Rattus norvegicus: one gene and its partners. The protein of the gene in region 1 purifies or fractionates together with the protein of each later gene. This does not show direct contact. Links are inferred from orthologs where the notes say so. Each region holds a gene or a part of one and is shown in the gene's direction. Other genes may lie near its edges. The genes, in order: Zmynd8, Kdm5a, Chd4, Hdac2, Csnk2a2, Tspyl1 and Rbbp7.

What was found.
Region 2: the proteins of Zmynd8 (region 1) and Kdm5a purify together in Homo sapiens (affinity purification with mass spectrometry; 3 studies listed by BioGRID and IntAct, with this or other methods). This does not show direct contact. The link is inferred for Rattus norvegicus from reciprocal best matches to the Homo sapiens genes ZMYND8 and KDM5A.
Region 3: the proteins of Zmynd8 (region 1) and Chd4 purify together in Homo sapiens (affinity purification with mass spectrometry; 7 studies listed by BioGRID and IntAct, with this or other methods). This does not show direct contact. The link is inferred for Rattus norvegicus from reciprocal best matches to the Homo sapiens genes ZMYND8 and CHD4.
Region 4: the proteins of Zmynd8 (region 1) and Hdac2 purify together in Homo sapiens (affinity purification with mass spectrometry; 4 studies listed by BioGRID and IntAct, with this or other methods). This does not show direct contact. The link is inferred for Rattus norvegicus from reciprocal best matches to the Homo sapiens genes ZMYND8 and HDAC2.
Region 5: the proteins of Zmynd8 (region 1) and Csnk2a2 purify together in Homo sapiens (affinity purification with mass spectrometry; 6 studies listed by BioGRID and IntAct, counting the BioPlex papers as one, with this or other methods). This does not show direct contact. The link is inferred for Rattus norvegicus from reciprocal best matches to the Homo sapiens genes ZMYND8 and CSNK2A2.
Region 6: the proteins of Zmynd8 (region 1) and Tspyl1 purify together in Homo sapiens (affinity purification with mass spectrometry; 4 studies listed by BioGRID and IntAct, counting the BioPlex papers as one, with this or other methods). This does not show direct contact. The link is inferred for Rattus norvegicus from reciprocal best matches to the Homo sapiens genes ZMYND8 and TSPYL1.
Region 7: the proteins of Zmynd8 (region 1) and Rbbp7 purify together in Homo sapiens (affinity purification with mass spectrometry; 3 studies listed by BioGRID and IntAct, with this or other methods). This does not show direct contact. The link is inferred for Rattus norvegicus from reciprocal best matches to the Homo sapiens genes ZMYND8 and RBBP7.

The regions. Positions count from the first base shown.
Region 1 is NC_086021.1:174,987,407-174,991,000, reverse strand, and holds part of Zmynd8 (MYND-type zinc finger-containing chromatin reader ZMYND8), read left to right. Parts: intron 1-1,894; coding exon 1,895-2,376; coding exon of another isoform or gene 2,377-2,450; exon of another isoform or gene 2,451-3,217; intron 3,218-3,594. UniProt on the Homo sapiens protein: Chromatin reader that recognizes dual histone modifications such as histone H3.1 dimethylated at 'Lys-36' and histone H4 acetylated at 'Lys-16' (H3.1K36me2-H4K16ac) and histone H3 methylated at 'Lys-4' and histone H4 acetylated at 'Lys-14' (H3K4me1-H3K14ac).
Region 2 is NC_086022.1:155,236,738-155,241,095, forward strand, and holds the start of Kdm5a (lysine-specific demethylase 5A), read left to right. Parts: upstream 1-1,498; 5' UTR 1,499-1,794; coding exon 1,795-1,959; intron 1,960-3,525; coding exon 3,526-3,603; intron 3,604-4,358. Other genes in the region: Ccdc77 (coiled-coil domain-containing protein 77), read right to left, coding at 1,301-1,498. UniProt on the Homo sapiens protein: Histone demethylase that specifically demethylates 'Lys-4' of histone H3, thereby playing a central role in histone code. Does not demethylate histone H3 'Lys-9', H3 'Lys-27', H3 'Lys-36', H3 'Lys-79' or H4 'Lys-20'.
Region 3 is NC_086022.1:159,594,800-159,598,393, forward strand, and holds part of Chd4 (chromodomain-helicase-DNA-binding protein 4), read left to right. Parts: coding exon 1-120; exon of another isoform or gene 121-194; coding exon 195-291; exon of another isoform or gene 292-1,317; coding exon 1,318-1,509; exon of another isoform or gene 1,510-2,136; coding exon 2,137-2,337; exon of another isoform or gene 2,338-2,517; coding exon 2,518-2,655; exon of another isoform or gene 2,656-2,908; coding exon 2,909-3,030; exon of another isoform or gene 3,031-3,181; coding exon 3,182-3,355; exon of another isoform or gene 3,356-3,594. UniProt on the Homo sapiens protein: ATP-dependent chromatin-remodeling factor that binds and distorts nucleosomal DNA. Acts as a component of the histone deacetylase NuRD complex which participates in the remodeling of chromatin.
Region 4 is NC_086038.1:42,101,640-42,106,007, forward strand, and holds the start of Hdac2 (histone deacetylase 2), read left to right. Parts: upstream 1-1,487; 5' UTR 1,488-1,693; coding exon 1,694-1,745; intron 1,746-4,368. UniProt on the Homo sapiens protein: Histone deacetylase that catalyzes the deacetylation of lysine residues on the N-terminal part of the core histones (H2A, H2B, H3 and H4).
Region 5 is NC_086037.1:9,572,324-9,575,917, forward strand, and holds part of Csnk2a2 (casein kinase II subunit alpha'), read left to right. Parts: intron 1-1,065; coding exon 1,066-1,167; intron 1,168-3,594.
Region 6 is NC_086038.1:39,635,559-39,639,926, forward strand, and holds Tspyl1 (testis-specific Y-encoded-like protein 1), read left to right. Parts: upstream 1-1,476; 5' UTR 1,477-1,507; coding exon 1,508-2,647; 3' UTR 2,648-4,036; downstream 4,037-4,368.
Region 7 is NC_086039.1:35,549,514-35,553,107, reverse strand, and holds part of Rbbp7 (histone-binding protein RBBP7), read left to right. Parts: intron 1-382; coding exon 383-556; intron 557-1,662; coding exon 1,663-1,778; intron 1,779-2,622; coding exon 2,623-2,783; intron 2,784-3,473; coding exon 3,474-3,594. UniProt on the Homo sapiens protein: Core histone-binding subunit that may target chromatin remodeling factors, histone acetyltransferases and histone deacetylases to their histone substrates in a manner that is regulated by nucleosomal DNA.

The DNA.
Region 1 (3,594 bases):
AATATAATGCTTTGCCCAGCATCCCTCCGGGGAGAGCCTGGGCACATGGCCGCTGCGGCCCCTCCCTCAGGCTTTCTGTGTCAACAAATATCTCATTCCCTTTTGAGGACACAGTGCTTATTCTTACTGAGGCCCCTTAAATGACTTGGGAACCAAGGGCTGGCTGGACAGTTAGGACCTTGAAACTATACCAGCCTAGAGTGGGTCAAGGGCCTTGAGCCTGTGGCCCTTGGCTGAGGGGAGGCTCTTGGTGCTGACGCACAGCTGTGGTCATTTGCTGGCTGGGGACCCGAGTGACTCTGGCCTCTTCCTTACCTAGCCCAGAGCCCTGTCTCTGGTAGGTATTTGGTTTCTGCTCAGCTTTGGTGGGGTCCACCTGTCTGGATATAAGGGTCTTCAAGTCCCCGCAGAAGGCTGTCCCTAGCACACACAAGGAGGGGAGCTGCTCACTTATAGCACCCCGAGATCAGCTGTGTGCTTAGGGGTTCTCCTTGCAGCCAGGTTTCATGCTGAACTCGGCCTCTGCACAGACCTCCTTTCCTGTGGGCCATTTCTTCTTCAGATGTAGGAATTCAGTGCGCACTGGTGACACGGTGCAAAATGCTGTAGCTGAAACCCACTGTTTGTCTTCAAAGACCAGGAAGACTGGGCAGCCTAAGTAGGCACTTTGGACATAGCTGGGCAGATGGTTCTCTTATCGAAGCAAGATTATTCTCTCCCCCACCCCTCCCACATCCCATGGACTCATGCCAGGCTTTGGTTTGAGGTCCAGGAACCCTTAAACGTCTCCATAGAAAAGTTAGGAACTAAGTTGAGGCCGTAGAGTCGGGAGTGCACAATGAGCAAGGTGTTCTGGTGTCCCTTCTCCACAGGAGTGGTGCTGGGGGTGTTCTCAGTCGTTCCCGGGGTCATGCAGGTTGCCGGTACTGGAAAAGGCACCACTGTTGCTTTTGGTTTCTGGGTCTCTGCAAAACGTCCTGGGGTGTGGGGGTCGATGGAGAAGGACAGGCCTTCCCCGAAGTAGCAAGGTCTGTGGAGAGCGTGCACCCCAGAGCCAAAGTCTACTTAGTATCAAGAGTTTTCCGGGTGGTTACCCTCTCAAATGTTGCCACGTGTGTCCAGACAGTGAGGAGGCTGATGCAGGAGCACCCTGAGTTGCAGGCCAACCTAGACAACATAGTGAGATTCTGTCTCGAGTACGACTGAAGTGTTCGCCTGCATGTGCTGCCCAGCGAGATCCAGGAAACACACCCCTCCTCAGATGTGTCGTGGAGGACTGGGACTCTTTTCCTCACCCTGAAAGAGCAGGGAACTGAAGGAATTACCATTGTATTTACTTCTGCCATTTATATTCATTTAGTTACTCATCTGTGTGTGTGTGTGTGTGTGTGTGTGTGTGTGTGTGTGTTCGTGCACACGTGCGCGCTCATGCCTGCACACGCATGTGAGTGCCACTGCGCATGTGTGGGGGCCCAGGGACAACCTGAGGGAGGTGGCTCTCTCCACGTTGGCTTTGCCAGCGCAGGTCTCCAGGCTTGGCAGCTGTGGCTTCCCCTGCTGAGCCGGCTTCCCCTGCTGAGCCGTCCATTTGTTTCTGGGCGATTAAGATGGCTGAGTGTGTGGAACCCGCTCACATCTCTGGCTGAATTTTGTTGTTCGTGTGTGTTCTATCCTGAATACCTCTGTGAAGTGGATCATTCATTAACCATTCAAAACAAGTCAATTATTTAAAAAAAGGGAGGCCCCATATTTAAGAATCTTGGCAGGCACCCACCAGGCTAATTTGATTTGCATTAAGAAAATTAAAAAAGAAAAAAAAAAGTAAACTACCTCGGAAATGACTGACGCTGACTCAGAGTGTCTCTCTCTCTTTCTCTCTCTCTTGCCATCCTAGAGCCTGGGTTCCAGTCAATAATTGCTACCTCATGTCAAAAGAAATCCCCTTTTCTGTGAAAAAGACTAAGAGTATCTTCAACAGCGCCATGCAGGAGATGGAAGTTTACGTGGAGAACATACGGAAGAAGTTCGGGGTTTTTAATTACTCCCCGTTCAGGACGCCCTACACCCCCAATAGCCAGTACCAAATGCTGCTGGATCCCAGCAATCCCAGCGCCGGCACTGCCAAGACAGACAAACAGGAGAAGGTGAAGCTCAATTTTGACATGACGGCGTCCCCCAAGATCATTCTGAGCAAGCCCCTTCTGAGCGGGGGCGCGGGCCGCAGGATCTCCCTGTCCGACATGCCTCGCTCCCCCACCAGCACGAACTCCTCTGTGCACACGGGCTCCGATGTGGAGCAGGACCCCGAGAAGAAGGCCCCATCCAGCCACTTCAGCGCAAGCGAAGAGTCCATGGACTTCCTTGATAAGAGCACAGGTCAGCCCCAGTTGGGAGAGTTGGGTAGGAGGCCGCTTGGTGCATTCTGGCGTCCTTGGATGCCTCAACCGTAGGTGCAAGCAGGCAGGCACCGCCAGACCCCAGAGATGAGGGCTGTATCCGAAGGCCAGCGGCGGCCATTCTTAGACGTGGGTGGAACTGGCCACAAACCCTGAGGGGCTTTCGTCCAATGTCAGAGCCTCTTGGCTCTTCAGAACAGTGCCCTGTGACTACGCTGTAGTTGAAAGTTTAGTTTTTGATACCTCTGTGTTAGGCTTAACTTAGATGTTAAGCAAATCAAGGTCAAAATGGGTCCCCCGCCCAGTTACCAGACCTCCTTCAAGGTCACTGTCTATAATTGTAGGAGTCCCACTCAGCCCATGTGGCTTTGGGGAACATATTTAATGTGTTTATTATGCCTTAGTCTCCTCACCTTTACCATGGCAACCGTTACTGGCTACACACGGAGGCCCTGCTGTGTGTAGGCTCGGTTGGGAACAGAATGAGTCAGAACCCACAGTAGGACAAGAGCAGTGACCAGGGCAGTGTTGACTGGAGTTATGTTTCCTGGTGATCTCTAATGTGCCGTCTCCAAGGATCTGAGAAGAGATGCAATGAAGGGGTGACTTAAGTGATGGCCCAGACTGGTTTGGTCAGGAGGATCCTCCTGCTCCGTCTTCCGTGTGCTGGGATGACAGGTGCACCTCACCGAGCTGCCCATTAAAACCTGCTTGAAGTGAGCACGTCATAAAATAAAAGTGTGTCCCTGTGCAAGCTCCCCCTCGCTCTCTTGTTCCGAACTTCAAAAAAAAAAAAAAATAGAGTTTTTATAGGAATATGAGAATGGTTGTGCTGTTTTAATTTAGTGTCTGTCTTCCCTTGGGTGGGACCGTGGCGTCGAGCTTTGCGGCAAAAATTCCTTGTTCACTGGCAATTTTTTTTTAAAGACGAGAACTTAGACTTCAAAGTCCCTATTCTAAAAATACACAACCTACTCCCCACCCCCACCCCCCCACCATGCTTGACACTTGCTAATCCCGTAAGGTGGCCATAGAAGGAGCTGCGGTGAGAGCAGGGGCCAGTGTGGTAACCCCAGCATTTGGGAGGTAGGGGCAGGGGGATTAGGAGCCCGAGGGCTGCCTTGACTTCATGAGCTCTTGTCTCAAAACCACTAAAAAAACAACAAAAAACCAAACCCCCAACAAAGAGAGAAGGGGG
Region 2 (4,358 bases), on another chromosome or scaffold:
AGAGACGGGAGTTATTGCTCAGGGCACATCATTTGCCTAATATGTTCAAGGACTTGGGTTCAATTTGACTAGCAGAATAGAACCTTTTTTTTTTGAGACAGGGTTGTACTACGTAGTTCACCCTCCCCACTTTTGTTCACTTTTTTCTTTACTTAATGTGTGAATATGTATATTTAAGTGTGTGGACCCGTGACAAGGTCTGAGGACCTCTTTCAGGAGTTCTCTCCTTTAACCACGTGGGTTCCAGTAAATCAAACTCCGATTTTCCGGCTTAGTGGCAAGTGCCCTTCACAGCTGAGCCATTGTTCTGTCCCTTCCCGTGTATTCTTTTTTTTTTTTTTTTTTGGTTCTTTTTTTCGGAGCTGGGGACCGAACCCAGGGTCTTGCGCTTCCTAGGTAAGCGCTCTACCACTGAGCTAAATCCCCAGCCCTCCTTCCCCGTGTATTCTTGACTGATCAGGAACTCGGTAATACCAGGTAGGCCTTATGGTGATCTTTCTACATCTCCTTCCCCAGAATCTATAGCACACAGGGAGTTTTCTTATTTTAGACAGGGTCTTCTGTAGCCTAATCAGGCCTCAAATTCATATGCAGCTGGGACTGCCCCTAAACCACGTGTCCACATATCACGACTGTAGGCGTATGGATGTGGAGGGCACAGGATAACTTTTGGAGTCGGTTCTTGCCTTCAACCTTGTAGAGTCAGGCTTAAACGCATAAGGGAATTGTAGGAGCGTACACCAGAAACATCGCTTTTTTTCTTTCCTGTCTAAACATCCCTTGCTGATTGGAACTCTCTGCCTGCGTAACCATGCCCGACCTTACACGTAGCGGTTTCTAACAAGGTGACCGTTTCATAGCAAACTGAAAAGGTTAGCAAAGTAGGTGTTTTCAGGTCCTGCTTACTTCTCGAATAAGGTTTCAGGACCGCTACCAACAGCTAGAAGAGCAAGGCCAGGAGCTATATAGTTCCCTGTGTAGTGAGAAAAGCAATTCGCAGCTGGTGTTGGTTAAGGCCGGCCCATACGATGACGGAATTGGACCGAAACCAATTGGTCACGGAGAAGCGAGAGACCCGTATGAAAGCGACCGAGTGAAATTATTCGTACAAGACTAGCATTTGAAAGAAGAAAACAGAGACGGGAGATTCTGTCAAGGGTTAGTTACTTGTCCAAACGTAGACAACTGGGTTAAAACAGGTCTCGGAGAACAAATAAAGCAGAGCAGCCAGAGAGGGGCCCACCTTGTTTTCGTGTCGTCCCCACCCCCACTACACAAAGAGGAACAGGAACCACCTCACCGGAAGCACTACCTCTGCTCTCTGAGGCATTACACATTCCTCCGCGCGCCGGAAGAGCGCGTTCCACCTTGCGGGGTAGCTTCTTCCTCGCCTCTCGAGGAGAGGTCGCGGAGCCATCAGGGGCCACGCACCCAGAGTGGACGGAGAGTGCAGAACCTTGACCGGCAAGCTGAGAAAAAAAGGCACGCCGGCTGTCATGGAAGGGAGGAAGGCGAGAAGACCCGACTAGACGTGGCGGCGGTGGGATTTTGTTTCCTGCGGTGGCGGACTGATTTAGCAGTACGTTAACTTCCGGAAGCGTCCTGTCCCTGAGAGGAAAAGCCCTGAAGGAAACAATAACAAACGACAGGAGGAAGCGCTTCTGGGTCTTCTGTGAGGAATAGTTCTCTCCTAAGAAGATGCGCTGCGGCCCCTGTGAGGAGACGTGAGAGGGCTTGGCGGCCGTCACCCAGCCTTTCCCGGCTTGTGCACCTCAGGGCCCCCTGGCTTTTACCATGGCGGGCGTGGGCCCGGGGGGCTACGCGGCGGAGTTCGTGCCGCCGCCCGAGTGCCCGGTCTTTGAGCCCAGTTGGGAGGAGTTCACAGACCCGCTAAGTTTTATCGGTCGCATCCGGCCTCTGGCTGAGAAAACTGGCATCTGCAAAATCCGTCCACCCAAGGTAGCGGAGCCTGAGGGGGTGTGGGGCGGCCGGGAGGGTCGTTAACTCTTGCTGTAGCTCTCCTATTTCGGTTCTTCTGTGCTTTCATGGGGCCCCTCCCTCATCTCCTGATGTCCCGACGCTACTTTTGAGGATGTTTTGCCCTGGGTTCTGAACGCAGTTTCACGTCCACTTTTACCTTTTATTGTGGATGCGTATGCGTTCGCTGAGAGGTCAGAGGACATTTTGTAGGAGTCGATTCTCTTCCTGCGTTGTGGGTCTCAGGAGGGCTCGAACTCAGATTGTCAGGCATCTCACCAGCTCTCAGGTCCGCCCTCAAAAGAAAGAAATAGGAATCTCTGGGACTTTTTCCTCTCAGAATTTATTTGGGCGCAGATATTGTAGTGTGGATTGGAGGTAAGGATAACAAAAGGCTTCAGGCCCTTCCTAGGGAAAGGCGTTTAAAGTGTCTTGTCATTCGCTCATGCACAGCCTTTCTGTTTGCGTATTAAAAAAAAAAAAATCCCACTTCTGTCGACTGTTTCTGTGTCCAAGCCTGCTAAAGCTCAGTTTATCAAACCTTTGCAGGCCACTACTCGGGTTTCTTAAAATGTAATCCGAACTCAGGTTGTCTACAGGGTGATGTCACTAGACTAGAACCCCCATGCTAATTATTACTGCAACAGGAAAGGCATCCTCGAGGAAGATAAAGAGCATTATTTAGTTGTTTTTTAAAATGTCGATGTTTAGAAAGAATTGGTCAATAAATGGGGATGTAAGAAAACGTTGAAATCTCTAGATGTAAGAAAGCAAGGGATAAAGATTCCTAAGCTGTAATATAAATAATCAAATTTGCGTATAAATTGATTAATTACCTCACTGTACGGTTAGGAACGCAGATGATACCCCGTAATGAGTGGAATTAATCCCCTAGGAGGTTAAGTGATATGCTCAAGGTCAGAAGAGTTTTTTTTTAATTCATTAGGTGCCTTTCAAATGATATTGTTAGTGAGGGAGAGTGCTGCAAGGCCCCTGCGTCCATCCTCAGTCACGTGGGAGAAAAACCTTGTTCAAATGTTGCTGAAAACCAGCACTCGGGGATGTTTTTTTAAATGAGATCCCTGTGCCCTGTTAAAGTAGAACAAATTTGTGGCTGCAAACGTTCTACAGTACGGATTTCTTTCCTAGCAAGTACTCAAATGAGTTTTGTCCTTGCTAAGATGGTCAAGCTGTGCAGTCTAGGCTGATTTGGAACTCTTAAGCCTCCTGCCTCTACTTCAGAGTACTAGGATTACAGGCATGTGCCATACTCAAGTCAGTTGACTTTTTTTTAAGTTTTACTTGGTAAACTTGTGTGTTTATTGGACACTGTTTTGCATTTGACAAGCTCGCTCATTGTATTCCTGGATAACCTTGGAGAGTATAACTATATTTTGAGATGGTAAGATTTGAAAATTGTTTTTCAAGTAATATTAAAATATAAACTATAAGTACATTGGCTTTTTTTGTCTCTATAATAAAGACTTACATAGTCTATGATTTGTGGCAGCTCTATGCTAAATTACCAGAATAATTCTTTCTATTTAGGATTGGCAACCTCCATTTGCTTGTGAAGTAAAAACCTTCCGATTCACTCCCAGAGTCCAGCGCCTGAATGAACTTGAGGTGAGTATTAGACCAATATTTCTGCTTTCTGGGTTTTTTTCTCCCTCCTTAGTGGTGGTGGTGTTTGAGACTCAGGGCTTCTCACACACTAAGCAAATGCTCTACCATAGTTTTATATAGCTCCAGTTTCCTCATGGCTTACCTTAGGATTTTATTTTTTGCCAAAAAATAATTTGCTTTTCTTAATTACCTTAGGATTTTAGATAGAGAACTTTTAAAAGGTCGTACCAAGACCCAGAATTTGTGTTAATTGGGATTTAATGAATAATAGTTACATGGTATTTGAGGAACGTGTCTTTTAAGACTGTTTCAAGTAGTTACTACCCCTTTTTTCTTTGCTTCTTCATTCAATAGGATAGCAGAAAACTATTTTTTCTTTCTTTCTTTCTTTTTTTTTCTTTTTATCGGAGCTGGGGACCGAACCCAGGGCCTTGTGCTTGCTAGGCAAGCACTCTACCACTGAGCTAAATCCCCAACCCTGAAAACTAATTTTTAACATATTTTCTTAGTGGAGATTCTAGTGCTTACCTTTAGAAAAGTGGAAATCCCTTCCTCCCTCCTTTCCTTTCTTCCTTCTTTTTTTAAAAAGCAGATCTCATACGGTCCAAGATGTCAATTATCTTGATACATAGTCCCTGACTGCGTGGACCTCCTGGCCTTCCTGCTTTCACACCTATGTGTTGGGATCACAGCTGTGCACACATGCCTGGTTCATAGATGATAGGGATTGAATTTTGTGCTTCAAGACTCTAGGC
Region 3 (3,594 bases), on another chromosome or scaffold:
GGGCCACGTTCACTATTTAATAAAGTGGCGAGACTTACCCTACGATCAGGCGTCTTGGGAGAGTGAGGATGTGGAGATACAGGACTACGACCTGTTCAAGCAGAGCTACTGGAACCACAGGTAGGTGACTGTGAAGAGGGGAACTGCTCTCCTTCAGAAGGACCGAGAGGCAGCTCTGCCGTTTTCTCTCCTAGGGAGTTAATGAGGGGTGAGGAAGGGCGACCTGGCAAGAAGCTTAAGAAGGTGAAATTACGGAAACTGGAAAGGCCTCCGGAGACCCCAACTGTTGATGTGAGTTTGGGTGGAAGAGGAATGGTGTATTTGTTGTGTGGGCAGTACGCTGCAGTGTCATGGTGAAGCTCCAGGACCTGTAGATGACTCTAGCTGAGACGATCTAGATTGTCCTCTCAGAAAGCATCAGGAAAAACCCACAGATGGGATATTTTATGTTAGGACAGTGTTCACTAGGAGGTGGTCTTATATACAAGGGGCTTGTGTATGTGTGCGTGTGCGTGCGTACAAACGTATGCATGTATGTATTTGAGAAAGGCAAGGTCTCATATAGCTCAGGCTGACTTTTAACTTCTGATTTCCTGTCTCCGCCTCCTAAGTGCTTTGATTGCTTACGTGCGCCAGCCTCTACCTGGCTGGTCTTAACGATGACAGCAGTTAGTGTCCTGGCACACCGGAGCCTTTCTTTGCCTTGCATGTTTTGAATAGTGGTCTGTGTCAGGTCTCCCTGAGGCCTAGATAAGCTGCCTTGTCCTCTGAAGGATGCTAAGGCACATGCTGCAGTGACAGTGAGGATCCCATCACTCCCTTTTCCCAAGTGTATTGAGGCTCACACATGTCCACAGTTCTTTCTGCTTACTGTCCCTGTGCCCCCTCTTTCCTCCCTCCTTCCTTTAGCCACCCCATTCTTCCTTCCCTGCAGATCTCTTTCCCACATTCATGCCTTTTTGGTCTGGGACCCACTGGATTTAACTGGGACTCTCTGTGACCATTGGTTTGGATCTGATCTGTCCATTATGGCCTGGTGGATTCTGTGGCAACTCCAAGGCAACTAAATTCTTTATTGTTACATTTTGAGACGGTATATCCTGATCCAAAGACTAGTCTTGAACTCAATCCTTCTATCTCAGCCTAAGTACTAGGGTTAAAAGGGGGTCTTACCATGCCTTATTTCCCTAAGGGCTATTTTGTTTTGTTTCTCTTAGCTCTCAGGAAAAAAAAAAGATCCACTAGGACTCGTGTAGGAGGAAGCAGTCTTCCAGGAAGGGGGTTCTTTACCAGCTTTTGACCTCTCTTCTCCTTCAGCCCACAGTGAAGTATGAGCGACAGCCGGAGTACCTGGATGCCACAGGTGGAACCCTGCACCCCTACCAAATGGAAGGCTTAAACTGGCTACGCTTCTCCTGGGCTCAGGGTACCGATACCATCCTGGCTGATGAAATGGGCCTTGGGAAAACTGTGCAGACAGCAGTCTTCCTCTATTCCCTGTACAAGGAGGTAAAGAGGCTGGGAGACGCTAGTGTCTGGAGTGGGTATTTTGTGACTATATTTTCTTGTGTTTTAAGGAGTGGGAGGAAGGGAGAAAGAAATACTGCAGAGGGATAGGAAGAGACAGCTCTGTAGTACAAATCCTTTTTTCTTTTCTTTTTCTAATTACTTTGTGTGGGTATGTTGTCCATAAGTATGGCTGTGCACCACCTATGTGCAGTACCTGGGGAGGCCAGAAGAGGGGTCACCTCTTTAAACTGTAATTACAGACTATAAGCCATCATGTGGGTGCTGGGATCTGGACGTGGGACCTATGCAAAGCAGCTAGTGCTTTTAAACAGTGAGCCACTTTCTAGATCCTACAGTGGAGATTTTGCAGGATCAGAGCCCTGGTAGGCTGAGTGCCTGGAGGTAAAAGGCCTTAGTGGTAGGAAATTCTTGTGTAGGTGGAGGAGTTTGGTTTTGTCAAGGTGGGCAACTGCCTTTTGGGAAGAGGGGTGAATGGTGTTTGTAACAGATGAAGGGGCGTCAGAGGCACAGGTGTCCAGTGTCAGCTTCACTGTGGGTCAGGGAGGAGGGGGAGTCTGGGGTTCAGGGAGGGGGCTCTTAGCCCTGACTCTGCCTGTTTCCTTCCAGGGTCACTCCAAAGGCCCCTTCTTAGTGAGCGCGCCTCTGTCCACCATCATCAACTGGGAGCGAGAGTTTGAGATGTGGGCTCCTGATATGTATGTGGTGACCTATGTGGGTGACAAGGACAGCCGTGCCATCATCCGGGAAAATGAGTTCTCCTTTGAAGATAATGCCATTCGTGGTGGCAAGAAAGCCTCCCGAATGAAGGTATTTCAGTGGGAGGGAAGAGGAAACTTGACAGGGAGTCACTGCTGTGGGCTGCTTTGCTGCCTTACCAGGTCTCTGAGTGAGGCAGAAAGAGAACTTGGGGAGCAGGGAAAGCTTGCTTGTCCCAGTTGTGCTGAGGAGTGGACCAGTAGTGAGTAACCGGCTTATCGTTATGTGCAGAAAGAAGCATCTGTGAAATTCCATGTTCTGCTGACATCCTATGAGTTGATCACCATTGATATGGCCATCTTGGGTTCTATTGACTGGGCCTGCCTCATTGTGGATGAAGCCCACCGGCTGAAGAACAACCAGTCTAAGGTGAGGAGTGGGAGGTGAGAGCCTCTAGTCCTAGTCCCTTGGGAGAGTCATCTTTTTGAAAGAAGCCTAAGTAGAGAAGAGGGGAAAGTGGTCTTTATTTTCTTCTTGACCGTTGGTAGCCCCTTCTTTGGCCAGGCATTTAAGGATGCCAGCCATGGGATGAGAGGCTTTAATTCACTGGACAGTGAAACAGCTTGGGATTTTTCTGGTGCTCTGGTGCCTTCGTTTCTTGAATTTCATTTCTCTTCACCAGTTCTTCCGAGTTTTGAACGGTTACTCACTCCAACACAAGCTGTTGCTAACTGGAACTCCATTACAAAACAATCTAGAGGAATTGTTCCATCTGCTCAACTTTCTCACCCCCGAGAGGTTCCAGTAAGTGTGGCTGTCTGTCTGTCTGTCTGTCTGTCTGTCTGTCTGTCTGTCTGTTCCTAGCTATATGTTTGTTCTTCTTGTTGCTCACTTCCCGTGTTACTTTCCTTTCTTCCTTTTTTCTTTTTCTCTAACAACTCTTTTCCCCCTGAAGCAATTTAGAAGGCTTCTTGGAAGAGTTTGCTGACATCGCCAAAGAGGACCAGATTAAGAAACTACACGACATGCTGGGGCCTCACATGTTGCGGCGGCTCAAAGCTGATGTCTTCAAGAACATGCCCTCCAAGACAGAACTGATTGTGCGTGTGGAGCTGAGCCCTATGCAAAAGTGAGTGTGGAGGGATGGAGCAAATTGAGCTTCGTGACAGACACCCGCCATCCCGCCAGCAGTTTCTTCCACAGAGCTTCATGTCTGCCGATAGGAGCAAGCAGGGCCCGAGGAAAGCTCACACCTGGGAGCGGGAGCTTGTAGTTGCTCGTTCCACCTTCCTGTGTCTAACACAAGGATGGTGTGGCAGTTGCCTGTTAGCTCAGCCCCACAGTGAGGAGTGTTGGAAAGATGATCGC
Region 4 (4,368 bases), on another chromosome or scaffold:
TGAGCTAAATCCCCAGCCCCAAGAAGGTTTTAATAGTCATATAAGAAAGCCTCTCATTTTATTGGTGAAAAGCACTTAAACAAAAAAAAAAATTCAAATGGCTTGCTGGAAGTCACAGGCACTAGACTAGATTATGTTCAGGGAAAAAAAAATCGACTTATCCTCTTGTGAAAGTGTCCTACTGAGAGACCAGTTGAGGAGTTACGGCCAACAGTTAACATGTTAAATGCTGAACTAAAAGGACACTTGGTATTAAAAAGCACGGGAAACAGACATGGGAGAACACTGTAGTCCCTGAACCTACCGTGTTAATCTCCCAGGGTCTTGTTAAAAGTACAGGCTTGGGAGAGAAGTGGATGTGGTGAGGGGTATCTTGGAGTGATTTTTAAGTCTCTTGGAGTAATGTCTAGAAGATTGGTGTTTTAAGTATGGAGAGTCCTGGGGGTCACAAGGTAGAAAATAATTATTTTTGTTAATGACTCAGTATGGTTCTTACTTCAACCCCTCCTCTTACGGAAGGAAGCGGTGTGCGCATGTAGCCGGAATTGTAAATAATAACGGTTAAGATATGTGAGTGTTGGATTTGACAGCCAGCTCCCATCCTTTCTTTGCGTAACGTTTAAGAAGGTTGGTTTAGACTGGTGCTCAATAAACGTCAAGCTATTAAAACACAGGGACTCCAATGTTTAAATCCATCCTTTTGGATTGTCTGACAGTCTGATACAGTAGACAAAGCACGTGGAGTCTGGAAAAGTTTGACACCCGTTCGGTCCTCAGATGACTCACACTTGAGGGCTCCTTCATTTACCCGCACCCATAAGGAGATGCGCACGGCGCGTGCATCCCGGCACCTTTGACACCTTTAAATGGCGTTTATTATAAACAGGTTTGGGTGCTGGGAACCGCGCTTATGCTTGAGTCCAAGAAATGCTTATTAAACCCAGGAGATACCTTCAGCCATTAACCTCTCTGTAACTCAAGAGTAGTTATCAGAAGGGAGGAGAGAACAGGAGAATTAGAACGCGTGGGAATATCCGACCACCAGGCAGCCCGGGGGCAGCCCTGGGGAGCTCTCCAGCGGGTTCCCCTCGGAGTCCCCGCGGCACGTGGCGGGCTCGGGCAGGCGCGTCGCGGCGGTGGGGGAGGGGAGAGGCGTGAGCCCTGGCGGAGGGGTCTAGACTGCCCGGGATCCGTTTGAGCAGGCGCGGAGTGCGCAGGCTCGGCCCCGGTGCAACCAGTGCGTGCCAGACCGAGAGGGGGACGTGGTGGCAGAGCGTTCGGGACTCTGAGCACAGGGCCAAGGTCGGCTTGTGCGCACCTCCGGACTGTGTGTGTGATAAGACATACGGAGCACTGCTGCAGCCTCGACCGGTGGCATCCACTCCGGCCCGGTCTCTCCTCCGGCCCGTAGCTGTGTTTCCCCCTCCGCGCGGCCGCAGTGGTTCCTCCCAACTCGCAGCCCCGCCGCCCGGAGGCCTACCCCTGCCGAGTGTCGCGCGTCGGCGCCGCTGCCAACCCCGCTCTGCGATCTCGGGCCCTCCCGGCACCCGCTCGCCGTCCCGCTCCGGGCTGTCCTTGCTGCGAGGGCCGCCGCGCCCGCCGTCTCCCTCAGCCCTCTTGTCTGGCCGCCGGGCCGCGGCGGGCGAGAGCAGCCGGAGGAGGAGCCGCAGCCAGGAGGCGGCGGCCGGAGCCCATGGCGTACAGTCAAGGAGGCGGCAAGAAGAAAGTGTGCTACTATTATGACGGTAAGTGGCCGGGGAGCCTGCAGCGGGGCTGCGGGTCGGACGCGGCGGGGTATCGAGGGTGGCAGCCCGCGGGGACACCGACACGGCCTACCCAGCGCTCGCCCGCCTACTCGGGGACGCCCGCCTTCGCTCCTCTCCGGTCCTCCGCTCGGGCACGCGTATGTTTGGGGTGCACTGCCTGGGACCGGTCTCGGAGGAACCCCTGTCGGCTCCCCGGGCCTGACTGCACAAAGCCGGCGTCCTGGAGCTCCGCCCTGCGTCCCTGTCCCCTCCCCCGCTCGCCCGGTCCCCCCTTCTCGCCCCCGATCTGTCGGCGCTGCGCTTCCAGCCTCACCCGGGACCCCGGCGCCCGGGTGGAGCTGCGGAGGAGTTACTGCTGGCCGGGGGCCAAGTTCGCAGAGCGGCGCTGTCTCGCTGGTGTTTTGCGTGGACTCCATCCCTCGCCTTTGTTCGTCGGGTTTCTTCAAGCTCCACTTTCTCAGGGTTCGGATGGAAGGGCTGCACTTCCTCCGTGACAATTAAAGGGTTTTGAATTGGAAGTAGGTAGGCCTGTGGGGAAGTGATGGGAGAGAGGGAGCGTGGAGTTGCTCTTGTTTGGTGGGTCTTGGCATGTCTCTATGGGAGGTTATTACCACCCACTTCTTTGTTGGTCTTTGTTCGATCCGCAGTTATACTCTGCTCTGGGGCTTAGGAAGGAGCATGGGCATCTTGGTTAGGAAGTCTGTCCAAGTGTGGTGGGGACCCTGCTGCAGCAAACTTTGAGAAGTAGACTACATATTCCATACAGGTAGGGCTGAGCTCAGAGTGCAGTGGACGGTACAAGGTGACTGTACGTGTTCCCTAATTTGGAATATAAGCAGTCATAGTCTCTGGGTCCAATTACACTAGATGGAGTAGTGCCCTGCCTTACAGATTTCACCCAGAACATTAATTGATAACTATTGAGAGAAGTAATAAGGAAATTGGACAGAACTAGCTAGCCTCACGGACTCGAAACGCTTCATCTCTACAAAGCAATACGAAATTGGGAGCGTTTTCTGTAGTTGGTGCATTGAAGTCTTGGAGAGGTAGATTACAGTGTAGAAAAGCAGGCCGAATGAAACCGACTTTAGCTGCAAATAACCGTTTGTTTTCTTGGTTTGGTCGAATCTTTTTTAATACAGGCTTTAAATGAAATAGTCACCTGTCATTGGCTGGAAAATCAAAAACCTGACAGAAAGCTAGGTCAAAATAGAAACAGCTTTTAAATGGCTGTTTTGTTTTCTGAGATAGGCTCTCGATAAGTTGACCTGGCTGTCCTGAAACTGTCCTATGTAGACTAGGCTGACTCTAACTCCGAGATCAACCTGCCCCCGCCTCCCAAATCCTGGGATTAAAGGCGAGTGCCACTGGCTTAATTGGCAGTTTGAGAGGACTACATTGAAAAGTTACACTATCGTGGAGAGCAGAGATGGGAAAGCATGACAACTTAGACATGACTTAACCATTATGAAGTGGGATTCATGGCAGACCCCTGACCTGCATTCTCTGATCCATTGGAAAGGATGCACTGTATGAATTAACTTGAAAAATTACAATTACAGCCTTTCCAAAGTAAAGGTTTGCTCTGCTAGAGGGTAGAGTCAGGGAAATAATGAACTGTTGGGGAACAGCTCAGTCTCTTCTGCTGTCAGCTTCTTTCCTCAGCTATGAACTCTTAAATCCCATGTAACCTTGACCGGGTCTGATGGAGAACCAGACAGTACTCTAGTGTGTCTTGAGCAGCGCCTTCTTCCCGGGTTCCTGTGTGGGGATGAGCCTTTACTGAGGGATGGGATAGACGGGTGGATGGAGGTATTTTTCAGTCATGTGATTTTTAACTTACGCCCATGCAACAGCTTTACCTAGATGTAAGTAACCAACTGTACAACTAATGGTGGAAATCTGCTGGGTTATCTGTGAAAATCTGTCTGGTTCTTGCTTGTTTTTAGGATGGACGTATTTTCATTCCAAATATTTGCATTAAAGAAAGTTAACAAAAAATGGAAAAGAACACTTAAATTGGTGTCTTAAGCTAATTAACATGTGACATGTGATAGCATGCTAGACTACAGAAATAATTCTCTACATGTCTGTCTTCATTACTGTCTGCAGTACTGGACCTGTTAGATCTCTGTGCCACTGCTCTGTGAACTTTTGGATAGGGGCATGTGAGCTATCCCTAATCCTCAGAAGAGAAATCAGAGTTCTTAGTAGACTACGACTATTGATTGACTGCTCATCCTAATTCCCAGAAACACATTTCTGAATTTTGGCTAATCTCTTATTAAAGATCAATGCTTCATCAAATGATCTGAAGCTAATTATGTACACACTAGTATACTTTCTGACCTTAAACCGAGGTTTTTTGCTTTTGGGGGGTTTTTTGTTTGTTTTTTTTCTCTATTTAAGTGTAATTTAGCAGATGGAGCCACATTTGGTTCTAATTGCAATGCTCATGGTTTTAATACTTCATCTAGAAATGTGAACTATGCCTTGTTTGGAGTGAAGCTTGGGACCAATCATGCAATGCCATCTAATGTATAATTTATAACAGAATTAAATGTATGCATAATTATATAATTAAACACAAATTGTTTTATGC
Region 5 (3,594 bases), on another chromosome or scaffold:
ATGAAAGTCCATGGGCCTCTCTTTACCTTGGTATTATGATAACGGTGCCTTAACAATAAAGTAGTCCATTTCCTTAGCTCAGTCTCTCTCTTGACCCACTTGAGAGAAAAGCCCAGAGAAGAGGGTGCTGCAGGGCAGTCAGGTTACCAGGCCTGAGTCTTGTTCTGTTAGCTGAGACCTGGGGGAATAACTCCTCGGCTGCTGACCCTCCTACTTAGAGGCTTCCTGGGGGTCAGTGGACTTCCTCCTCAGTCGGCAGGCGGAGGTCAGAGAGTTAGCATGTGCTGTACACTTACTGGTGTGTCCCTTACTGTCTGTCCTGAGTGAGTTATAAATGTCGTGCTTGCCTTTTCAAAACTGCTTTTCTTTATTAACTTCAGACAGGAAATGATACACATACTGTGAGTGTTTCTAAGAACTTACTTTTCCATCTTGTAGGTTGGTGCCTTAGCAGTTAGCAATCATTGCTGGATGAGATCAGCTTTCCCCTTTGCTGAGCCAACAGCTCTCTCTCTCTCTAGGAATGAGATCTATTAGGAGAGTTACTAGCTCTGAGCTGATTTGATTCTAAATCTTAAGGAAGTGGGAGTGGCAATAGGAAATGGGAGCCAACAGTTTGGAAGCAAGTTTGTAACTTAATGTCAGTGAGCTAGTTCATGCCCTAAGATACAACTACATCTAAATTGTGGGAGAGCAGGCGTCTAGCTACTTTCTTTCACTTTTTCCATTTGTTCATGGTCTGCGGCTGTTCAGAACCATGACACATTTGGCAGTAATCCAGTAAAAATGCATTTATTTTTAAAATACTACATGAATGTTAAAGTTTGCTAAATGCCCTAGATATAACTACTTAGGGAGATTGCCACATAAGCTATAAACTAAAATGTTTAACCTGAAAGATTATTATAGGAAAGCTCACTTTCTCTCTTCTAGTTAAGCATATTCTTTAACACAACACAGTACACAGCAAACAATCTATGCTGTTGCCTTAACATTGATTAAAGTTGTATTTATTATGTTAACTTCAAAAGGAGTCTCACTTCTGATTACTCTTGTGTATTTAAGCCAGTGAAGAAAAAGAAGATAAAACGAGAGGTTAAGATTCTGGAGAACCTTCGTGGTGGAACAAATATCATTAAGCTGATTGACACTGTAAAGGACCCTGTGGTAGGTGCCTGGTGGCTGGGGCATGTGCTAGTGGATTGGGGTGGGCTGTTTTTTTTTTTTTTTTGTTTTCTCGGAGCTGGGGACCGAACCCAGGGCCTTGCGCTTCCTAGGCAAGCGCTCTACCACTGAGCTAAATCCCCAACCCTGGGGTGGGCTGTTTAACACCCAGGACCTTGTATGGTGCTGCATAATGGGCTGGTGGCACTGATAATTACTACCGAGGGGGTTTAAAAACCATGCAAGAGCCACGCCCAGTGGTGATAGCCCCGGGAAGCCCTGCTTTTGTTCTGTTTTTGAAAGCTGCTCACTGCCAGTTTGCATTATCTTACGTCACTCTAGTAGCTTGATCTTGGGAGTATCTATGTTGATTCTAGTGTAGAGAACTAAGCATGTCTCAGATCGCTAGTCCTTTGAAAAAGAAGCCTTACTGTTTCATATTGCTAGTCTTTAGTTCAGCACCTCATGTTGTATACATACGTATAAAAATATCTACGTATTTTTACAACTAAAATGCTTCATTTGGGGCAAGATGGCTCAGTGGGTACAGGCACTTGTCACACAGGCCTGGTGACTAGAGTTTGATCCCTAGGAACCATGTCAGAGTAGAAAGGAAAAGCCTGCTCCACAGAGCTATTCTCTGACTCCACATATGTGCCATGGCACATGTGCCGTCATACGTACGTGTATATACATATACACAATAATAAAATAATCATAAAACAGTCTCAATTTCTACCTATCTTAGGGTGCTATTCACTTTTTCCTTCCTCTAAGGAAGAAGCTGGCAGTATTTGCCTAGGCTTTGATCCTTGAGACCACCTTCGTGTCATTTGTGTCTTCTTGCTGTTGTCCACCTGCTCTGTCTGATTATCCCCCTGTTCCCCAGGAGAGCTTCATGTAAGCTCATCTGAGAAGCAGGTCTTTGCTTCTGCATGCTGAGGACACCCCCATACTCTAACGCAGGCCAGGGGCTAGGCTAAGTACTTGGCTGCATTGCACCACTTAATCCCTGATGATCCAGGGGCAGGGGCTCGTACTGCTCTTGTCGACATCTTACTGTAAGGAAACAGAAATCAACAAACATTAAGTCATTTGCCCACCTGCACGGTGATAATATAAGATAAGAAAATATTTTTCTTTTGGAACTTGATCAAGCCTGAGAAAGGTGGTTATATACAAACTCGTAACTGATTGTCACTAAATAATATATCTATCCTGCTTAGTTCAAATTGATTACTAGCCCAAAATTACTTAATGTTCAGGTTAAAATGGGTTTGTCCACTTGAGAATATAAATTCACTCGTGTGTGTGTGTGTGTGTGTGTGTGTGTTTGTTTTAATGTTTGAGATAAAAATGGATATTGCTCACTTAAAGAACACACACACCATATATATATATAGAAAATGTAGATTTAAGGATATAGCTGGGGGTATAGCTGAGCTGTCTAATGGCAGAAGTAGGCCTTGAGTTGGATCCCTAGAACTACATAAATTAGGCAAGGTGATGTGTGTTTGTAATCCCAGCACATAGAAAATGGAAGCCAAATGGATGGTCAGAAATTTAAGGTCATTCTCAGCTACATAGGGGATTTAGGGCCAACCTGAACTGGACACCCTGTCTGTGTGTGTGTGTGTGTGTGTGTGTGTGTGTGTGTGTGTGTGTGTGTCTCTCTCTCTCTCTCTCTCTCTCTCTCTCTTACACACACACACACACAAACACACACACACTTTAAGAGATGGTATAGGGGGGTTGGGGATTTAGCTCAGTGGTAGAGCGCTTGCCTAGCAAGCGCAAGGCCCTGGGTTCGGTCCCCAGCTCCGAAAAAAAAAGAAAAAAAAGAGAGAGAGAGAGAGATGGGGGTTGGGGATTTGGCTCAGTGGTAGAGCGCTTGCCTAGCAAGTGCAAGGCCCTGGGTTCGGTCCCCAGCTCCGAAAAATAGAAAAGAAAAGAGAGAGAGAGAGAGAGAGAGAGAGAGAGAGAGAGAGAGAGAGAGAGAGAGAGAGAGATGGTATAGGGACTAAGCCCAAGGGCCTTGTACATAGAAGACAATAATGAGTCAGTAACTGGTGAGCATCCCCTCCCCCTACTTTTTCTTCTTTCCCCTCTCCCTTCCTCCCTCCCCCCTCAGTTAACTGAAGTTACTGATACCTGGCTTAGTATTTGTAACTTGTTAACGTGTGTGTAATATATGAGTTAAGCAAAAATTGAAGACTTGAAAGTGGTTAAAAGCACACGTTATCTTCCAAAGAACCTGACTTTTATTCCCAGCACCTGTGTCAGGTAGCTCAGAGCCACCTGTAACTCCAGCTCTAGAAGGATCCAACACTTGGCGTCTGTGGATAGCCATACTTACCTGCACATAGCAAACACATACACATTTAAACGTTCTTTTCTAATTGATGTGGGTTTGGAATGGCTAGAGACACC
Region 6 (4,368 bases), on another chromosome or scaffold:
AAGTATTTAGCAGTGGAAATTCATTTCTCTGCGTGGAAAAAGCAGTGCACTGGGGAGAGGCGGGGGCATGATTTACCCAGAATTTCACGAAAATTGGGTCACAGTTTCAGAAGAGCTGATATAGATATCTGTGTTACTCTCCATCCACACTGACTTTTATGAAGCATGTAATTTTCTAACCATGTTCTTATTGGTGAATTTACCACTGTGTGATAAACACCGCGTCATATAGTTCTTATAATAATCTAAGTCGTTGACCCCTTTGCTATACTAAAATCGCCACCACTACAATAACCTTTATAGTAAAATTGTTAAATTTGCTATTTATGTTTATAGCTGGGTTACATTGTCTATGAACTTTATCGAAAGGAGTTAAACGGCCTTTTGGAAACATTTGTTATTCAGAAGGTGGCATTTGTTCTGATAAATTTGAATTTGGGGACCATGAATAACTACCTTCTTTTTCTCAAAACAGAAAGGAAATAAGTTCTTAAATATTAATTTATTTGTTCATGAGGAAAGGTGATGGGAGAAAATATGTACCAACTTGACATTAGTTATGCGTTAATGCTTATATCTTAAAGTGAAGTCACATCCTGTCCAAAGAGCCTCGGAATCAAATCTCCTGGGCTCAAATCATTGCTCTGTCATTTTTAATGTTATTTTGGTAAGAGACCCAGTTTTTCCTTGTTCAAAAAAAAATCTTAATACATCACAAGATTGTTATAAGAACTATACAGCGTGATGTGTATCACAGTGCACCCGTATAAACAATCGTTAATTATAACCACAAAACATCTCCCCAAAAAAACAGGAATTCTCAAAACCAAACCCACCGAGCTTCGTTCCCAGTAACGTCCGAGGTTAGAATAGAACTGCTTTTTTATTCTTTTTGAGCCAACGTGTATGCAGCCCAGGTTAGCCTCCAAATCAAGGAGCCTCAGCACCGGAGCACCGAGTCGCCAGGCAAGGGCCATCACACCAGGCCAGACTTCATTATTTCTTCAGTTCTGTGAAGGGGTTTGGGGGTGCCTTGGCATTCACCTTGGTTAAAAACAGACATTTTGGCTCCTAGCTTTTTCGAATATCCGGCGGTATTTTTACCTTCTCACGTCAGTGGAAAGTGGATGAACTTGTTTGCTGTGGACAGTAAGCAAAGTAAATGCTGTGCGCACACTCACAAACACACAGACACACAGACACCCAGACACACATGGCGGCAGCCGGGATGCGGGAGACGTTTCCAAAAGCCCCGCCACTGCCTTCAGTCTCCTAGGATAACTGACATTCCTTTACCGAAATAAACGTGACAATCGCAAACCGCTACGTTTACAGAAGCCAAACAAACACGGAAGCCAATCCTCGCTGAGGAACCAATCAGGTGCGCTGCCGGCTCTCGCGGTACTTGCGGCCCTGACGTCACCGCCCTAGAAACAGCGAGGGGCGGAGGTGGGGCTGCGTGGACCCTGAGGGTTTGTAAACTGAGGTCTGTGCGACCGGACCGGACATGAGCGTCCGGGAGCCGGACGAGGGGACCCCTGTGCCCGACCACCGCGGCCTCTGCGATGCTGACACTATCCCGGGGACCCCAGGCTGGCGTCCGCTGCTCGGCGAGAAGGCGGTGACAGGTGAGGGCAGCGCGGGGATCGTGGGGAGCCCAGCGCCCCGGGGTGTCGCGGGCCTTGGCCCCCAGGTGCGGGTGGCCGCAGCTAGGCAAGGAGAGACTCCGCCTGTTGTCGAGGGCCCCGCGGCGGCGGCGTTCGTGGCACCGAAAGATGCGGAGAAGGCCCTAGAAACTCGGGGAGCGGAGGCCCGGGCCCACGACGTGAAGATTGAACGGGCCACCGTCGCGGTGGCAGCGCGAGAGCAGTCAGAAGTGGCGATGCAAGGGAGTGAGGAGGTGATGGAGGTGGAGCAGAAGCCCGCGGGTGAAGAAATGGAGATGCCGGAGGCTAGTGGAGGAGCCAGGGAGGCGCAGGAGGAGGCAGGGCCTTGGCACCTGGGCATCGATCTTCGCACGAACCCGCTGGAGGCCATCCAGCTGGAACTGGACACCGTGAATGCTCAGGCCGACAGGGCCTTCCAACATCTGGAGCAGAAGTTTGGGCGGATGCGGCGACACTATCTGGAGCGAAGGAACTACATCATTCAGAATATCCCAGGCTTCTGGATGACCGCCTTCCGCAACCACCCTCAGTTGTCCGCCATGATTAGGGGTCAGGATGCAGAGATGTTAAGGTACATAACCAATCTGGAGGTGAAGGAACTGAGGCATCCTAAGACTGGCTGCAAATTCAAGTTCTTTTTCCGAAGAAACCCCTACTTCAGAAACAAGCTGATTGTCAAAGAATATGAAGTGAGATCATCCGGCCGAGTGGTGTCTCTTTCCACTCCAATCATATGGCGGAGTGGGCATGAGCCCCAGTCCTTCATTCGCAGAAACCGAGACCTCATCTGCAGCTTCTTCACCTGGTTCTCAGACCACAGCGTTCCAGAATCTGACAGGATCGCCGAGATTATCAAAGAGGACCTGTGGCCAAACCCACTGCAATACTACCTGTCTCGTGAAGGAATCCGTAGACCCCGACGTCGCCCAATAAGGGAACCAGTGGAGATTCCCAGGCCTTTTGGCTTCCAGTCAGGCTAACCTTGCTTTTGAAAATGCAGCTGGCTGGAATAAGTCCCTTCTCGCCTGTGCTTGAGCAAATGCACCGGGTACGCAGTGTTTTGATTTCTTTCCTCCTGACTTTTCAGCATCTTCTGTTTGGATAGTCTCCTCACCTCGAGATTAAGACTGTGGGCATGCTTCTGCCTTCACATGGCTCCCATGCTGTCCTGAATTAGTATCTGCCGGTTCGTGGCCCTGACTTGTACCTTTTCTAAGCTTAACAGTGAAACTTTGTATCGCACTGCCTTTACACTGTGTGGACGCTGTTTTCAGTGTTACCCATTTACTGCCACCTAGATGTCTTGCTTTATCTGGGGGCTCTTCTATTTACCTGTTCAGCACGTGGCAATGTGGGCAAAAAGTTTTCAGACAGTTGCTGGGCCTAAAGGTCATTGCAGGAGTGGGCCACCTTCTGTGTCATTTTGTGACTTTTTCTAGGCTTCATTGTGTTTGCCAGTACTCCTCACCCTCACTCTCCCACCTTTCTCCTGTTATTTTAAAGAAAAGTAGTTCAAAAACACCTGTAAGATCAGGAGTTGTAGTTCATTTATACTCAGCATTTCCTGAGAGGATGCTCTGTAAAAGAGGTCACAGAACTCTGCCTTGTCTCCTCTCTTACCCACTCCTCAGCCTGGTTAGCTAGCAAGTCCTAAAAAGCTTATATGGAGACAGAATACAGAGACAGAATTAGATGGAAACAGGTGAGCTTTTCCTAATAATGTATGGAAGAACTAAAGAGATTGTGATGGGTACCTTAAGCAGGAAAAGTGAGCTGAAAATGAAAAGGCTTAGAGTCAAAGTAAGTCAGATAAAAATTGGGCTGAGGATGAAGACAGGATGAGAGCTTTCATATTTTGGCCAGTCATTGGTGATGGGAAGAGAATTTCTCAGGAAAAATACTTTCTCTGAGTGTTGAATGTTGCCTAGACAACGCTTCTTTAAAGAAGCAGTTCACGTTTGGGTTATTTTTCTCTCTTTATATGTGATCTAATGTAAGTGAAAGGGTAATACTGTGTTCATATTTTACCAACATTTAGTAAAATGCTACTTGTTTCTACTTACTGGAGAAATTTAAACACTTTCATTTGCATTCATTTGAAACCACTTGGAAGAGCAATAGACTTAAGTGAATATTCATAACAGTTTTCAATATTAATCCAAATTCTTAGAAACAGCTTGGATAATTTGGTCTTTATCAAATGTGTCAAGTTATTGACTTATGGAAAAGTAAATATGTGACTTGATTGACTTGATAGTCTCTTCTTAAACTGCACATAGTTATAAAAGTTCTTTGTCAGATTAGCACTGTACTCGGAGTGTATTTGTTGCTGTTTGTATGCATGATGGTAAATAAAAGCATGGTACCCAGTTGGATGGCTTTCTTTCCCCTCGCATCTTGGCCATAAGCCTGCCTAAATGGGTTTGTATAATTAACAAGATTGCTGAATTATCAGATTTCTTAAATGAACACAATTGACATTATCCCAGAGGTATCAAGAGAACACAGTAACTTTCTCCTGCTTAAAGAGTGGCTGTTACTCTCATTGTTTTGTTGCTTTCGAAGGTTGACAGTTTCAACTAATTACTGTGATTTCAGATCTTCCTACACAACTTGTGCAGTAGTACCACGCCTTCACTTCTTCAGGTTCACAACTCACCTCCATGGGTATTTTCATGTGTTATTCAAATGTACATTTCAT
Region 7 (3,594 bases), on another chromosome or scaffold:
GGTTCATAGGAAATTGTTTAAGCACAATATAGTGTGTTTATAATATTCTCAGCAATTAAGAATGAAAAGAAAAACTATATGCACCAGTACGGAAGGTGAGATTTTTGTTAATAATCAGATCTTAACTATAAAAAGGCTAATTTTTTAGTTTTTTTTTAATACACAAGGTAGAACAAACTATTAACTTAGCATGGTAAGCAATCCATTATATTGAAAATGGGCTTTGAGAATAAATTTCATATAGCAGGTAACCTGTATTTTGGAGAGTTTCTTTTTCTCTTCAATTTGTGTTCTACTCTGACAGGGTAAAATCGGTTGGGTTGATGCACTAAATGACTTGTGATTTTTAATCCTGAATGTTTTGTTTGTCTCCTTACATTAGAATTTGGTGGCTTTGGTTCTGTAACAGGAAAAATTGAATGTGAAATTAAAATTAATCATGAAGGAGAAGTAAATCGCGCTCGTTATATGCCACAGAACCCACACATCATTGCCACAAAAACACCATCTTCTGATGTTTTGGTTTTTGACTATACAAAACACCCTGCAAAACCAGGTATGTATTAATAAAGCCAGGCCATCACACATTTTTCTTGATTAGAGATAATATTTTAAAAATACTTTAAAGTACTGTACTGTTAAGACTGGAAAATCGGCTCAACAGCAGTTAGAAACTCTGTTGGCTTTTCTATAGGATGTGGGTTCAATTCCCAGCACCCACATGGCAGCTCATAGGCCTTTGTAACTCTAGTTCCAATTCTTTGGGCCTGTGGGCACCATGTATGTATGTGGTGCACAGATATTCATGCAGGTCAAACACTTGTATGTGTTTTTGTAGAAAATATGGAAGTCATTTACTCAAAATAAATTTGTAAAATCTAAAGTAGTCTGTATAACTTTTAAAACTTCACAAAGTGAGGGATTTCATAACCACCTCTAAGCTTGGTGATTCACTAGAACCTGATAGCAAATTATACTTGCAGATGTGGTTTACTGAAGCAAAGGATCCAGAACAAAAGCAGAAGAAAATAAAGATATCAATCAGATAGGCAGTAGATAGGTCTCCACAGGGTACGAATACAGGCTTCTGAGTACCTCCTTTCTGGAGTCAAACAGGAGATGGTTTTTCTATAGCAGAAAACTAAGTGACTGTCCAGAGAAGCCTGTTTGAGGCCCAAGGTCTGGAGTTCCTAATGGAAATCTGGTCACAAGTTCCATATGCACTCATGGTAATGAAAACCAACAGCTTCAATAGTGAAGTTAGATGAATCCTTGATAAACTGTACTACAAGAAGTTGCTAAAGCATGCTTTCATTGGTCTGAGCATGTCAAATTCTGAAAGGATGGCCAAGGGTCATCCATGGTTTCAGGCTACCCAGGGTATGTAAGGATTGAATGACCAGATATGCTGGATCTATTTCTAAAAATTGCCTTGGGATGAGATGATGGGGTAGCTACTACACAGATTTATGGAACAGCTATAGTTGTCAACATTTCTGTATTAGTGATAGTATTGAGCCCAAAACCAGTCAATGCGCTTGTGGGTTCAGTGTAGAATTGCTATTTGATTCGGTCAATAATAAAAGGAGTCTGAAGCTTGGTTCTTAACCAATTCTGATAAACGGATCACTTAGTGGTTAATATGTTTCATTTTCCTCTTAGATCCAAGTGGAGAGTGTAATCCTGATCTTAGATTAAGAGGTCACCAAAAGGAAGGCTATGGTCTCTCCTGGAATTCTAATTTGAGTGGACATCTCCTGAGTGCATCTGATGACCATGTAAGAGCTGATATTCTTTCTTAATATTATACTGAGCATAAAATTGTCTTAGATCTAAGCTACAGGATCTCTGTATAGATTGAAAATTTTCTAAGATGACATAGATTGCTGTGTTAACATTTTCCTGAGCTTTAAAACAATTAGTTTCAGATTACTCTGTTAGAGCCTTAAGATTTTACAAAGCTCTTTTGAAGATTGGAGGATTACCATTGTTTAAAAGAATACTGCTAGATTTACCTTTTCATTTATTATTTGTGTAAATTCCAACAGGCTCTATTTCAAAAGTTGTGCATCTGTTGCCACTAATTTTAGATTATTTTCATTAGGTGTCTGAAAATGAAATTCCACAGATGTTAAACAATTACTCCTTGCTTTCCTTTTGCTAATAATAGCTATAGCTAGCTGATTATGGCCTATGGTATCCTAAAGTGGGCTTAACACCACCAGATTCTCTGCTTTGGGTGTGCCTCTCACATCCAAATAAGAAAGAGATTAGTCTTTTCTGTAACAGTCTTGTCACTATTGCACCAGTGTGCAAATCTTATCTTGCCTTAGTATGTAGAGTTTATAGCTGAATAAATTGTTAATGACCTCTCTACCCCAGCTACCAACATTGCACCTTCTGGTACCAGGAAGGGTGCAGCAAGTGGTAAAAACATGTAACTGCCCTGCAACCATAGGGTGTATTGTATTCAATAATAGGATCCTAAAGATCTAGTTCTGATGGACAACCACAGTAGCAATTGTCTATTTTGCTTTAGGGAGATGAGCATGTTCCTAAATAAGATGTTACCTTTTAAATCTGGTATTTTCATAGCCTTTGTTCTTTTTTGTTCTCCCTTAGACTGTCTGCCTCTGGGATATAAATGCAGGACCAAAGGAAGGCAAAATTGTGGATGCTAAAGCAATCTTTACTGGCCACTCAGCTGTTGTAGAGGATGTGGCCTGGCATCTGCTGCATGAGTCCTTGTTTGGATCTGTTGCTGATGATCAGAAACTTATGATGTAAGGTGGAAGGTTCAGTGGAACCTTGATGGGTAATCTGAATGACAGACCATTAGTGATTGGCAGACTGAGTTCTGGCTCTTGAAAGTTATGTTACAGTTTTAAAATGAGAAATAGCTTTTTGTGAGTTATACTTGATAATTAGCTGCATGTATGTAGTGAACAGTTTATTTCATTAAAAATGAAGAAAAATTGTTAAGAATGTGAAGAAAAAGGCTTGAATAGTGATAAATTCTAAATGTGATCCAGTGTTAACTGATTAGAGCTCAGGGAGGAAGAGTGTTTCCATTAGATGGTGTGGCTATAGAGCTGCATTAAAATAACTGAACTCATGCTTTATAAGTAACTATTGTACTACTGAGACTAGGAGAACAATGTATCGAAATTTGACAAGGCTAATTATAGGTAAAATAAGGAAATGCTGTAGTCTGTATTTTGAGTACCTTTAAGATGGTATATAATTAAGATAGAAATTCAATAAAAGGAACTAGACTAATTGTCCTAGTTATTTGGAGGTTTAAAACATGTCATTTAATGGACAAAAGCCCAAATTGCTGTCTGTGTGTGGTTTGTGTATTTGTGAATGGGTAAGCATATCAGAGCTTCATATAGAAAGAAAGAACATCTACTGAGCCAAAGCTCTTGGGAGCTGTAGGTGCTGTATGTATGCCTTGTCTTTTTGTGTTTCAGATGGGACACCAGATCCAATACTACTTCTAAGCCCAGCCATTTGGTGGATGCACACACTGCGGAGGTCAACTGCCTCTCATTCAATCCCTACAGCGAGTTTATTCTGGCAACTGGCTCTGCA